Linked DNA regions of Saccharomyces cerevisiae S288C. The protein of the gene in region 1 binds, or shares a complex with, the protein of each later gene. Each region holds a gene or a part of one and is shown in the gene's direction. Other genes may lie near its edges. The genes, in order: SIR2 and NET1.

What was found.
Region 2: SIR2 (region 1) and NET1 share a complex: the UniProt entries of both Saccharomyces cerevisiae proteins name them as parts of the RENT complex.

What each region holds. Positions count from the first base shown.
Region 1 is NC_001136.10:375,980-380,090, reverse strand, and holds SIR2 (NAD-dependent histone deacetylase SIR2), read left to right. Parts: upstream 1-1,645; coding exon 1,646-3,334; downstream 3,335-4,111. Other genes in the region: peptide alpha-N-acetyltransferase complex A subunit NAT1, read left to right, coding at 1-1,217; spliceosome assembly protein PRP11, read left to right, coding at 3,611-4,111. UniProt on the Saccharomyces cerevisiae protein: NAD-dependent deacetylase, which participates in a wide range of cellular events including chromosome silencing, chromosome segregation, DNA recombination and the determination of life span.
Region 2 is NC_001142.9:293,401-299,384, forward strand, and holds NET1 (Net1p), read left to right. Parts: upstream 1-1,844; coding exon 1,845-5,414; downstream 5,415-5,984. Other genes in the region: PRY3 (Pry3p), read right to left, coding at 1-581; YJL077W-B (uncharacterized protein), read left to right, coding at 647-745; ICS3 (Ics3p), read right to left, coding at 1,266-1,661; YJL077W-A (uncharacterized protein), read left to right, coding at 1,399-1,485; APQ13 (Apq13p), read right to left, coding at 5,060-5,476; cohesin subunit SMC3, read right to left, coding at 5,757-5,984. UniProt on the Saccharomyces cerevisiae protein: Has a role in chromosome maintenance and is involved in mitotic exit. Inhibits the action of CDC14 by sequestering it in the nucleolus. Also binds to RNA polymerase I and stimulates rRNA synthesis.

The sequences.
Region 1 (4,111 bases):
AGGATAGATTTATCAACTGTAAAACGGTTAAGTACTTTTTAAGGGCTAACAATATCGACAAGGCGGTGGAAGTCGCGTCCCTTTTCACCAAAAACGATGATTCTGTTAATGGTATTAAGGACTTACACCTTGTGGAAGCTTCTTGGTTCATCGTAGAACAGGCAGAAGCCTATTATAGACTATACCTGGATAGAAAAAAGAAATTAGACGATTTAGCATCGCTAAAAAAAGAGGTTGAAAGTGATAAAAGCGAACAAATTGCGAATGATATCAAAGAAAACCAATGGCTTGTTCGCAAATATAAAGGTTTGGCGCTGAAAAGATTCAACGCTATTCCAAAGTTTTATAAACAATTCGAAGATGACCAGTTGGATTTCCATTCATACTGTATGAGAAAAGGTACGCCAAGAGCCTATCTGGAGATGTTAGAATGGGGAAAGGCACTTTATACCAAACCCATGTATGTTCGCGCAATGAAGGAAGCATCAAAGCTTTACTTTCAAATGCATGATGATCGCTTAAAAAGAAAGTCCGATTCTTTAGATGAAAATTCAGATGAAATCCAAAATAATGGCCAAAATAGTAGCAGCCAAAAGAAAAAAGCTAAGAAGGAAGCAGCCGCTATGAACAAACGGAAAGAAACTGAAGCCAAGAGTGTTGCTGCTTATCCGAGTGATCAAGATAACGATGTATTCGGCGAAAAGTTGATTGAAACCTCCACTCCAATGGAGGACTTCGCTACCGAATTTTATAATAACTACTCCATGCAAGTCAGAGAAGACGAAAGGGATTATATTTTGGACTTTGAATTTAACTACAGAATTGGAAAGTTAGCTTTGTGCTTTGCTTCTCTAAACAAATTCGCTAAGAGATTTGGCACCACGAGCGGTTTATTTGGTAGTATGGCCATTGTTTTGTTACATGCCACAAGAAACGACACCCCCTTTGATCCAATTTTGAAGAAAGTAGTCACGAAGAGCCTTGAAAAAGAGTATTCTGAAAATTTCCCATTAAACGAAATATCTAACAATAGCTTCGATTGGCTGAATTTCTACCAAGAAAAATTCGGTAAGAATGATATAAATGGCCTGCTATTTCTGTATCGCTATCGCGATGATGTTCCGATCGGAAGCTCTAATTTGAAAGAAATGATTATTAGCAGTCTTTCTCCCTTGGAGCCTCACTCCCAGAACGAAATTCTACAGTATTACTTGTAGCCTGCAACTCCTCAATGTGTCAATTAACTCTTACTTAATTTATGTATATATTTTTTATGTATATGCTTATATGCATGCGCATATGCTCATAAAAGATACATTGTTATAGGTCATTTCTTTTCCAAGCTACATCTAGCACTCCTTCCAACCATGGTCCAGGACAGCCAGGACCTTTTCTTGCCAAAATTCTTGCTTTCCCATCTCAGAGAAAAAACGAGGAATTTTTCTTTGTCCTCTTTGGCCGCCAGTTGCGGTAAAATATTTTTTTTCTAGGTCGCATAGTTTGAAAGACTTGTCTTTTTCACCACCCAAGAAAAATATATTTAGTGAAGAGATGTAAAGCCCATTCTCACGTATTTCAAGAAATTAGGCATCGCTTCGGTAGACACATTCAAACCATTTTTCCCTCATCGGCACATTAAAGCTGGATGACCATCCCACATATGAAATACGCCGTATCAAAGACTAGCGAAAATAAGGTTTCAAATACAGTAAGCCCCACACAAGATAAAGACGCGATCAGAAAACAACCCGATGACATTATAAATAATGATGAACCTTCACATAAGAAGATAAAAGTAGCACAGCCGGATTCCTTGAGGGAAACCAACACAACAGATCCACTTGGGCACACTAAAGCTGCGCTCGGAGAAGTGGCATCGATGGAGCTCAAACCAACTAATGACATGGATCCCTTGGCAGTGTCAGCAGCTTCAGTAGTGTCAATGTCCAATGACGTTTTGAAACCAGAGACGCCCAAGGGGCCAATCATAATCAGTAAAAACCCATCAAATGGTATTTTCTATGGTCCCTCCTTCACTAAACGAGAGTCTCTCAATGCTCGAATGTTTCTGAAATACTATGGTGCACACAAATTTTTAGACACTTACCTCCCCGAGGATTTGAACTCGTTATACATTTACTATCTTATCAAGTTGCTAGGCTTTGAAGTTAAAGATCAAGCGCTTATCGGCACCATCAACAGTATTGTCCATATCAACTCGCAAGAGCGTGTTCAAGATTTGGGAAGTGCAATATCTGTCACAAATGTTGAAGACCCATTGGCAAAAAAGCAAACAGTTCGTCTAATCAAAGATTTGCAAAGAGCAATTAACAAAGTTCTATGTACAAGATTAAGATTATCCAATTTTTTCACTATTGATCATTTTATTCAAAAATTACATACCGCTAGAAAAATTTTGGTCCTGACTGGTGCAGGTGTTTCAACTTCATTAGGGATCCCGGACTTCAGATCTTCTGAGGGGTTCTATTCAAAGATCAAACATTTGGGGCTCGATGATCCCCAAGACGTTTTCAATTACAATATATTTATGCACGACCCCTCTGTTTTCTATAATATTGCCAATATGGTTTTACCTCCAGAAAAAATTTATTCTCCATTGCATAGTTTCATTAAGATGCTACAAATGAAAGGGAAATTATTGAGAAATTATACTCAAAACATTGATAATTTGGAATCTTATGCGGGAATAAGCACAGATAAACTGGTGCAGTGCCATGGCTCTTTTGCTACTGCCACCTGCGTTACCTGCCATTGGAACCTACCCGGTGAGAGGATATTTAATAAAATTAGAAACCTCGAACTTCCACTATGCCCGTACTGTTACAAAAAAAGAAGAGAATATTTCCCAGAGGGATATAATAATAAAGTAGGTGTTGCTGCATCACAGGGTTCAATGTCGGAAAGGCCTCCATATATCCTTAACTCATATGGCGTTCTCAAACCAGATATCACATTCTTTGGCGAAGCACTGCCAAATAAATTTCATAAGAGCATTCGCGAAGATATCTTAGAATGTGATTTGTTGATTTGCATTGGGACAAGTTTAAAAGTAGCGCCAGTGTCTGAAATCGTAAACATGGTTCCTTCCCACGTTCCCCAAGTCCTGATTAATCGTGATCCCGTCAAGCACGCAGAATTTGATTTATCTCTTTTGGGGTACTGTGATGACATTGCAGCTATGGTAGCCCAAAAATGTGGCTGGACGATTCCGCATAAGAAATGGAACGATTTGAAGAACAAGAACTTTAAATGCCAAGAGAAGGATAAGGGCGTGTATGTCGTTACATCAGATGAACATCCCAAAACCCTCTAAGTAGAAGGCAATTTAATAATTTAAAAGTGCCAAATTAATATCAATTTACATAGTATGGCAAACAATTTTGTTTTCCTTTCAATTATTGTAGTCAAATATTATTTACATTCTGCTATTTTCATTGTACCGGGTGAAATATTACATGTACCGCCCATCTCACTAAAAAAATGAAAAAAAAAAATCTGCTAAAGACGCAAGGCTCTCACAAATAGCTTAATGTAAGAAGGGCAGGTGGAACAGCAAATTCAAATCATTTAACGCATCCATACATTCAAAATGAACTATTTAGAAGGCGTTGGGTCAAAGAAAGGAGGTGGTGGTATAGCCTCAGAATCTCAGTTTAACTTACAACGAAGGAAAGAAGTCGAATCATTACTTAGTAAAGGCGAAAATGTCCCGTACACTTTCCAAGATGAAAAGGACGATCAAGTAAGGTCCAATCCGTACATTTACAAGAATCATTCCGGTAAACTGGTTTGTAAACTATGTAATACAATGCACATGTCGTGGTCCAGCGTTGAAAGGCATTTGGGTGGTAAAAAACATGGTTTAAATGTGTTAAGGCGTGGTATCAGTATAGAGAAAAGTTCTCTAGGGAGAGAAGGCCAAACAACTCATGATTTCCGACAACAACAAAAGATAATTGAAGCTAAGCAATCTTTAAAGAATAACGGTACGATCCCTGTTTGTAAAATAGCTACCGTGAAAAACCCGAAGAACGGTTCAGTAGGTTTGGCTATCCAGGTAAATTATAGCAGTGAAGTCAAAGAAAATAGT
Region 2 (5,984 bases), on another chromosome or scaffold:
GCTACAGCGGGCATAATACTGGATGAGATGGTGGAGACTGTGTCTGATGTAGTTGAGGTAGAAGAGGACGAGGATGAGGACGAGGAAACAGTGCTTATAAGTGGTTCCACTTCCTCTGCAAACTCACCCAGGTAGTTTCCAGGAGGGTTGTAGGAGCACACAATATAATTGTTCCATGTCGTACCACAATATTTATAACCACATCCAATCTCGGCGGTTGACTTCCAAACCACCTGTGTGAAGTGACCCGTGGATTCAGAAAATCCGGGATTTGAATAATTATACTTGCTTATCTCCCCGTACCAGGCGTCCACCGCTCCCGTGTCTGTGTAACCAAGGGCAAGGTTCTCACCATATGGGCCATCGGAATGCGTTAAGACACCCGAACAATCATATTGGTCGGCGTAGTTCTGCGCATAGGTGGCCAGAGTGTCGGACCAGGTGAGCGGCGCTGTGTCAACATGTAGCGCTCTGAACTTGTTATGCTCGTTCAGCACATCGCTCTCGAAGTTTGGAAACGTGGTTTGTGCCTTGACGGCTACTAGGCATCCTAGCAGAACTGATATTGGAAACTCCAGCATAAGCGTTTTCGTTTTAAGTTGTTTTAAGTTGTTTGGAGTTGCAGGGGTGCAGCAATTATAATTTTATGCCGATATTGGTTTGGCAACTACCGAAAAGCAAGAAGCTAAAAACTTTGAAGTATAGAATATGTTTTAGAGAATTCTTCGACCGAGTTGAAACATGAGAACTGTTTCATCGGCCCTATATAGCAATTACATCCTTCCGTTGCTGGGTCCCTGCCTAGATACCATATTTGTTGTTGAATTAACCGCGGGAACCCGCAATATACGAAAGACGAACACAAGAGAGCAAGCACACACAGCTAGTGCGTAGCGTTGCTAGCTATATTGCCATGGTACCTACCTTTCACCTCCTTGTTAAATCCATAAGTGGACGGTTTTCCTAAACCAGTATTTATCAGTTCTCGAGCACGCAGAGAAAAGTAAACGAAGCGACCTGCATTGCGGTAACTATAAACACCCAGCCGCCTCCAGCAGAACCAGCCATGTGCGAAGAAAAACAATTTTTCGGCCAAACTTACCAACAATAGCGACGCGTTCCTCACATCGTTGGGTTTTTTTCGCCTCTCTTCAAGTTTCCTATACCCGAGCTTAACACAACACAACGGACCCTCTTAATTAGAGGTATCCTCCGTTCTTTTCTTCCGCTTTCCTAATCGAGATACCAGAGCACGGAACAGGACCCTAGTGCATCGGAGAGGAGATCCGTGGCACGCTCACTGCGCCTTTCACTATCACCGATTTCGTAATTCGAACAGGAGTATTTCGCTGCAGGGGAATTACTGTTTGTAGACGAGGGAAAGCAATTATCAGATACATGCCAGGGATAGCGTTCAAGGGGAAAGACATGGTTAAGGCAATACAGTTTTTAGAAATAGTCGTTCCTTGCCACTGTACGACCTGAACTTTACTCAACGAAAAAAAAATTGGAAAAAAAATAGTGCATAACGTTGCTATTAACAGATGTAGTACTGATATGTCCCTGATTGGTGAAGAGTCAGAATGATATAAGCCTATTTGATATGTACGTGTACGTATTCGAAAATAAGATTTGTTTCTCGTAGGGAGCGATATGTGCATTATGTTACCCGTTCCACATGTTTTGAACTTTTTTTCTTTTTCATGGTAAGCGTCAATAATCAATTTGAATAACTAGTGAAGAGTAGCTAGCACGATGAAATAAGTGCCGGAGCTGATCGAATCCCTAGTCTCGGTTCGCCTGAAACAGAGAGAAGTCGATTACTGTACACCGTGCCTCCTTCTATGTACAAGCTACAAGTGGTCTTGGTGCCTCCGAGTCTTCAGGCGACGATGCCAATACAGTTTGGCTACGGACCAACCATCGCCGAATCTTCTCAATTGTTGCCAAACAGAACTAATATGGCGCAAAGCGCCGGAGATGCCTCTTTGCAGTATGCTAATCTGAGATCTGCCAATGTGAGTTTCACGCCAAGCTATTTCAACCAGTCTAGGTTTAGGAAGTTTCTTTTGTTTACCAAGCCGACAAACACGCTGTTGAACTTGAGTGATGAAATCATCGATAAGTGTGAAAAAATGTACCCGAGTTTGCAAGAAGACATTGAAATTTTGAGTTTGCAAGATAACAGCGGTTGTGACCTTGATCCGGATTTTTTGGTAAAGGACGTTTTCAATGTAAATAATATCGTAAGAGTTATATTGAAGAATGAGATAGATCTGGACGATTCCGCACCAGTGTCACTTTATAAGTCGGTAAAACGATCCAAGTTGAACAACGGGTCGCCCCAGTCGGTGCAGCCGCAACAACAAATCCCGTCCTCTTCAGGTGTTCTTCGGATTGCCAAGAAGAGGCCACCTACAGGAACCACGACAACAACAACCATTCGTAGTGCCACTAATGGATCCATGAGGGTTTCTACCCCATTGGCTAGGCAAATTTATCCTCCACCTTCTTCGAAGATCGTCTCCAACAACTCAGATGACGAAGACGAAGACATTGGTGAAAGATCCTTTTTGCCGCCTCCAACGCAGCCTCAGTCACCTCCCATAAGAATTAGTTCGGGCATTGACGCAGGTAAAAAAATAAAATCAAGCATCGTCGAGGAAGATATCGTGTCCAGATCAGCAACCGTGGATCCAGATAAAACAAAGCAGCAACGTCTATTGTCCGGAACTCCTATAATGTCCACCATGACTCCAAACAGAGTTACTCTTACCGGTCAGAGAGTGGTTTCTGAACACGCACATAAAAACGAATTGGTTTTCTCTGCTTCAGCTTCTTCCTCTTCATTTGCTAATGGTGGCACAGCTGCTGTCACTGCTCAGGACATTAATAGGAAACCACCCGTAACCACTCCAAGAATAACATCAGGAATGTTGAAAATCCCCGAGCCAAGAATCTCAGAGATTGAAAAAGAGTTAAAAGAGGGACCTTCCAGTCCGGCCTCCATTTTACCCGCTAAAGCTGCAAAGATTCCAATGAAAAAACCTTACTTGGAAAATGGCGAGAACTACGAATCCGACGATAGCTCAAGTAGCGAAAACCAAGAAACTCCTGAAACAGAACCACATTCAAAGGCTTCCTTGCAACGTAGTCAAAGCTCCATCGCAGATAATAATGGCTCTCCGGTGAAAAATAGTCCTCTCGGTGATGCCATGCCACACAATGTGCATTTAGCAGAACTTCCCAAGGCAAGCAATACCTCGATCACCAAATCTTCAAATGGCGAATCCTGGGGAAAGCAACAAGAACATCAACCACCAAGAAAGAGTTCACTGGAAACTATAGTGGAAAAGAAATCTCAGGCGGAACCTTCCGGTATTGTGGAACCGAAAAGAATGACTAATTTCCTAGATGATAATCAGGTAAGAGAAAAAGAAGATACGAATGATAAACTTTTAGAAAAGGAAATTTTGCCGACAATTCCACATAATGATCAGCCAATACTTGCATCATCTGATAAGTCTAATGGGACGTTGAAATCACTAGCTGGGAAAGTTAGTTCAAACAACAACGCTTCAAAGGAAGATGGCACTATCATTAACGGCACCATTGAGGACGATGGCAATGATAATGATGAAGTTGATACTACGGTTCGTATTGTTCCTCAAGATTCAGATTCCTCTAGTTTCCCAAAGTCAGATCTTTTCAAAATGATCGAAGGTGATGATACAGATCTACCGCAATGGTTTAAGGGCAAAAATTCGAGAACTTCCGGTAATTCCAAAAATTCAAAGCCTTACACAACGGTTTTGAATAAAGACATAGACAATTCTAAGCCAGATCCAAGAAATATTTTGCCCCAGCGAACCCCAAGAAGTGCGGCTAAGAGGGCTGCCCAATTATTGGCAGGTGCCAAGAAAAACGAAGTCCCACAGAAAAGTACTGAAGATTCTAGTTCGGCAGCGTCCACAGACGATGAGTCAGAGAGTGGGATTGAAACAGATTTCTCATCAGACGATGATTTTAAAAGGAAAAATATGTCGGTGCCTAATAATGGGCCCAAAGACATTTCTTTACATTCTTTGAAAGGCAGTGTTGTTCCAGTGAAAGACTCAAAGATAATCAATAAAGAAGTTGATGAAGAAAGAAACGACAAAAGAGATAGTCAAAAAAAGTCAGCCGTGAGTGAATCTTCAGTAACAAATAGCAAAATAAGTGAACAAATGGCGAAAAGCTTTTATCCGAATTCAAACAAGAAGCAAAATGAAGCTACAAAGGTGGAAACTAAGCCAGCAACACAAGCATCGTCTTTTCCTGTTGTTGGTGGGTCTCCTTCTGTTGCTACTAAAGGAACTACCTCTTTCAATGAAGAAGGAAATCGTAAAAATGTTAAAACGAAGGCCAAGAATGAGTCTGCGCAGATTGATAGGCAGCAGAAGGAAACAACTTCTAGGGTTGCAGATTTGAAAAGCGCAAACATAGGAGGTGAAGACTTGAACAAGAAAGCAGAGGGGTCCAAGGAACCAGAAAAAGCATCTGCCAATATACAGGATGCTAACGATAAAAATAACTCGAAGGAAAAAGAAGACTCCAAAAGCAAACAGGTATCTCAGAAAAAGTTAAAAATGACAGATCACTTAAAAGAAGGCAATGTTCAGCTTCCTAAGCCCAGTGCAAATGATAAATTGAAGGATTTGAAGGCTAAATTTACTAATAGTAAAACACTCGTGCCACCTGGAATAATTTCTAATGAAAAAAATAATTCTAGTGCAAACGATGATGATTCTAGCTCCTCAGGTTCTTCCACAGAAGACGAGTCTAGTTCATCTTCCTCGTCTTCTGATGAGGAAACTTCAACATCCAGGAAGGCTAGAAGAGTTGTTGTAAATACACCAAGAGAACCAGTTAGATCTTCATCTAAGATTGAAGCCCCCTCTCCATCTGTTAACAAAAAAATCAATGCCACCCCTGATAAAATTCCAGTTACACAGCTAATGGACATGTCGTCTCCTCCGTCAGTTAAATCCAAGACCACCTCAAATCCGTCTAGTATACTTCATGACCTTCCAAGAAAAGTTCGTCCTTCTTTGAGTTCATTATCTGATCTTGTTTCAAGAGGCATCCCAGATGTAAAGGAAAAAACTTCTAAATCGAATGAGAAGTCACAAACAAAAGCCCCTTCAAGTAGTGATGATGAATCTAGCTCTGATTCTGACTCTAACTCCAGTTCGGACTCCGTATCGGATTCCAGTTCAGATTCTAAATCTGAGTCAGATTCTGATGACTCAGGGGATTCATCTGATGATGGAAAAAGTTTTATTAGTGCGAAATCCGCTAGTGCTGCTTTAGGTAAGAAGAAGAAGCCAAGTGGTGGATTTGCATCATTAATAAAAGATTTCAAGAAAAAATGATACCAGAAAGTCTCAGTAGAATACACGTCACAGAAAGCTAGTAAAAAAAAATAATCAAGCATATAAAAGTATTAATATATTAAAAAATCTTCATGTAAACCAATTCTTATTTACCTCTTTTCCCAGCAAGCGGGCAACTTCTTTAAGAAAAGTAATCTTTTTTGTACGTCGAATTATCAAAGCTTGGTTACTATATTTAACATTATTGTTTAGTAACAGTATCATCTTAAAAGAAAATTTTTTAAAATTCCAATATAGGAGACAATGGTAATAATTACATACAAATAGCTATTTATGTAAGCAAAACTGATATTTTTATATACAAATCGTTTCAAATATCTCTTAGACTTCAGCGAATTTATTGCTACCTCTAATGAATCCGATTGCTTCTTCTCTATTGACCTCAATAACCGTGGAAATCTTATTCTCGTACTTAACACGGAAAAATTTGTCTGCAACTTGCAACATATCTGTTCTGAACGTCGTACAAATAAACTGGGCATTTTTTGACAGTTCTTTTAGAAGTGTAGCGACTGCAGTTCTATACTGCTTGTCGAGTGCAGCATCAAT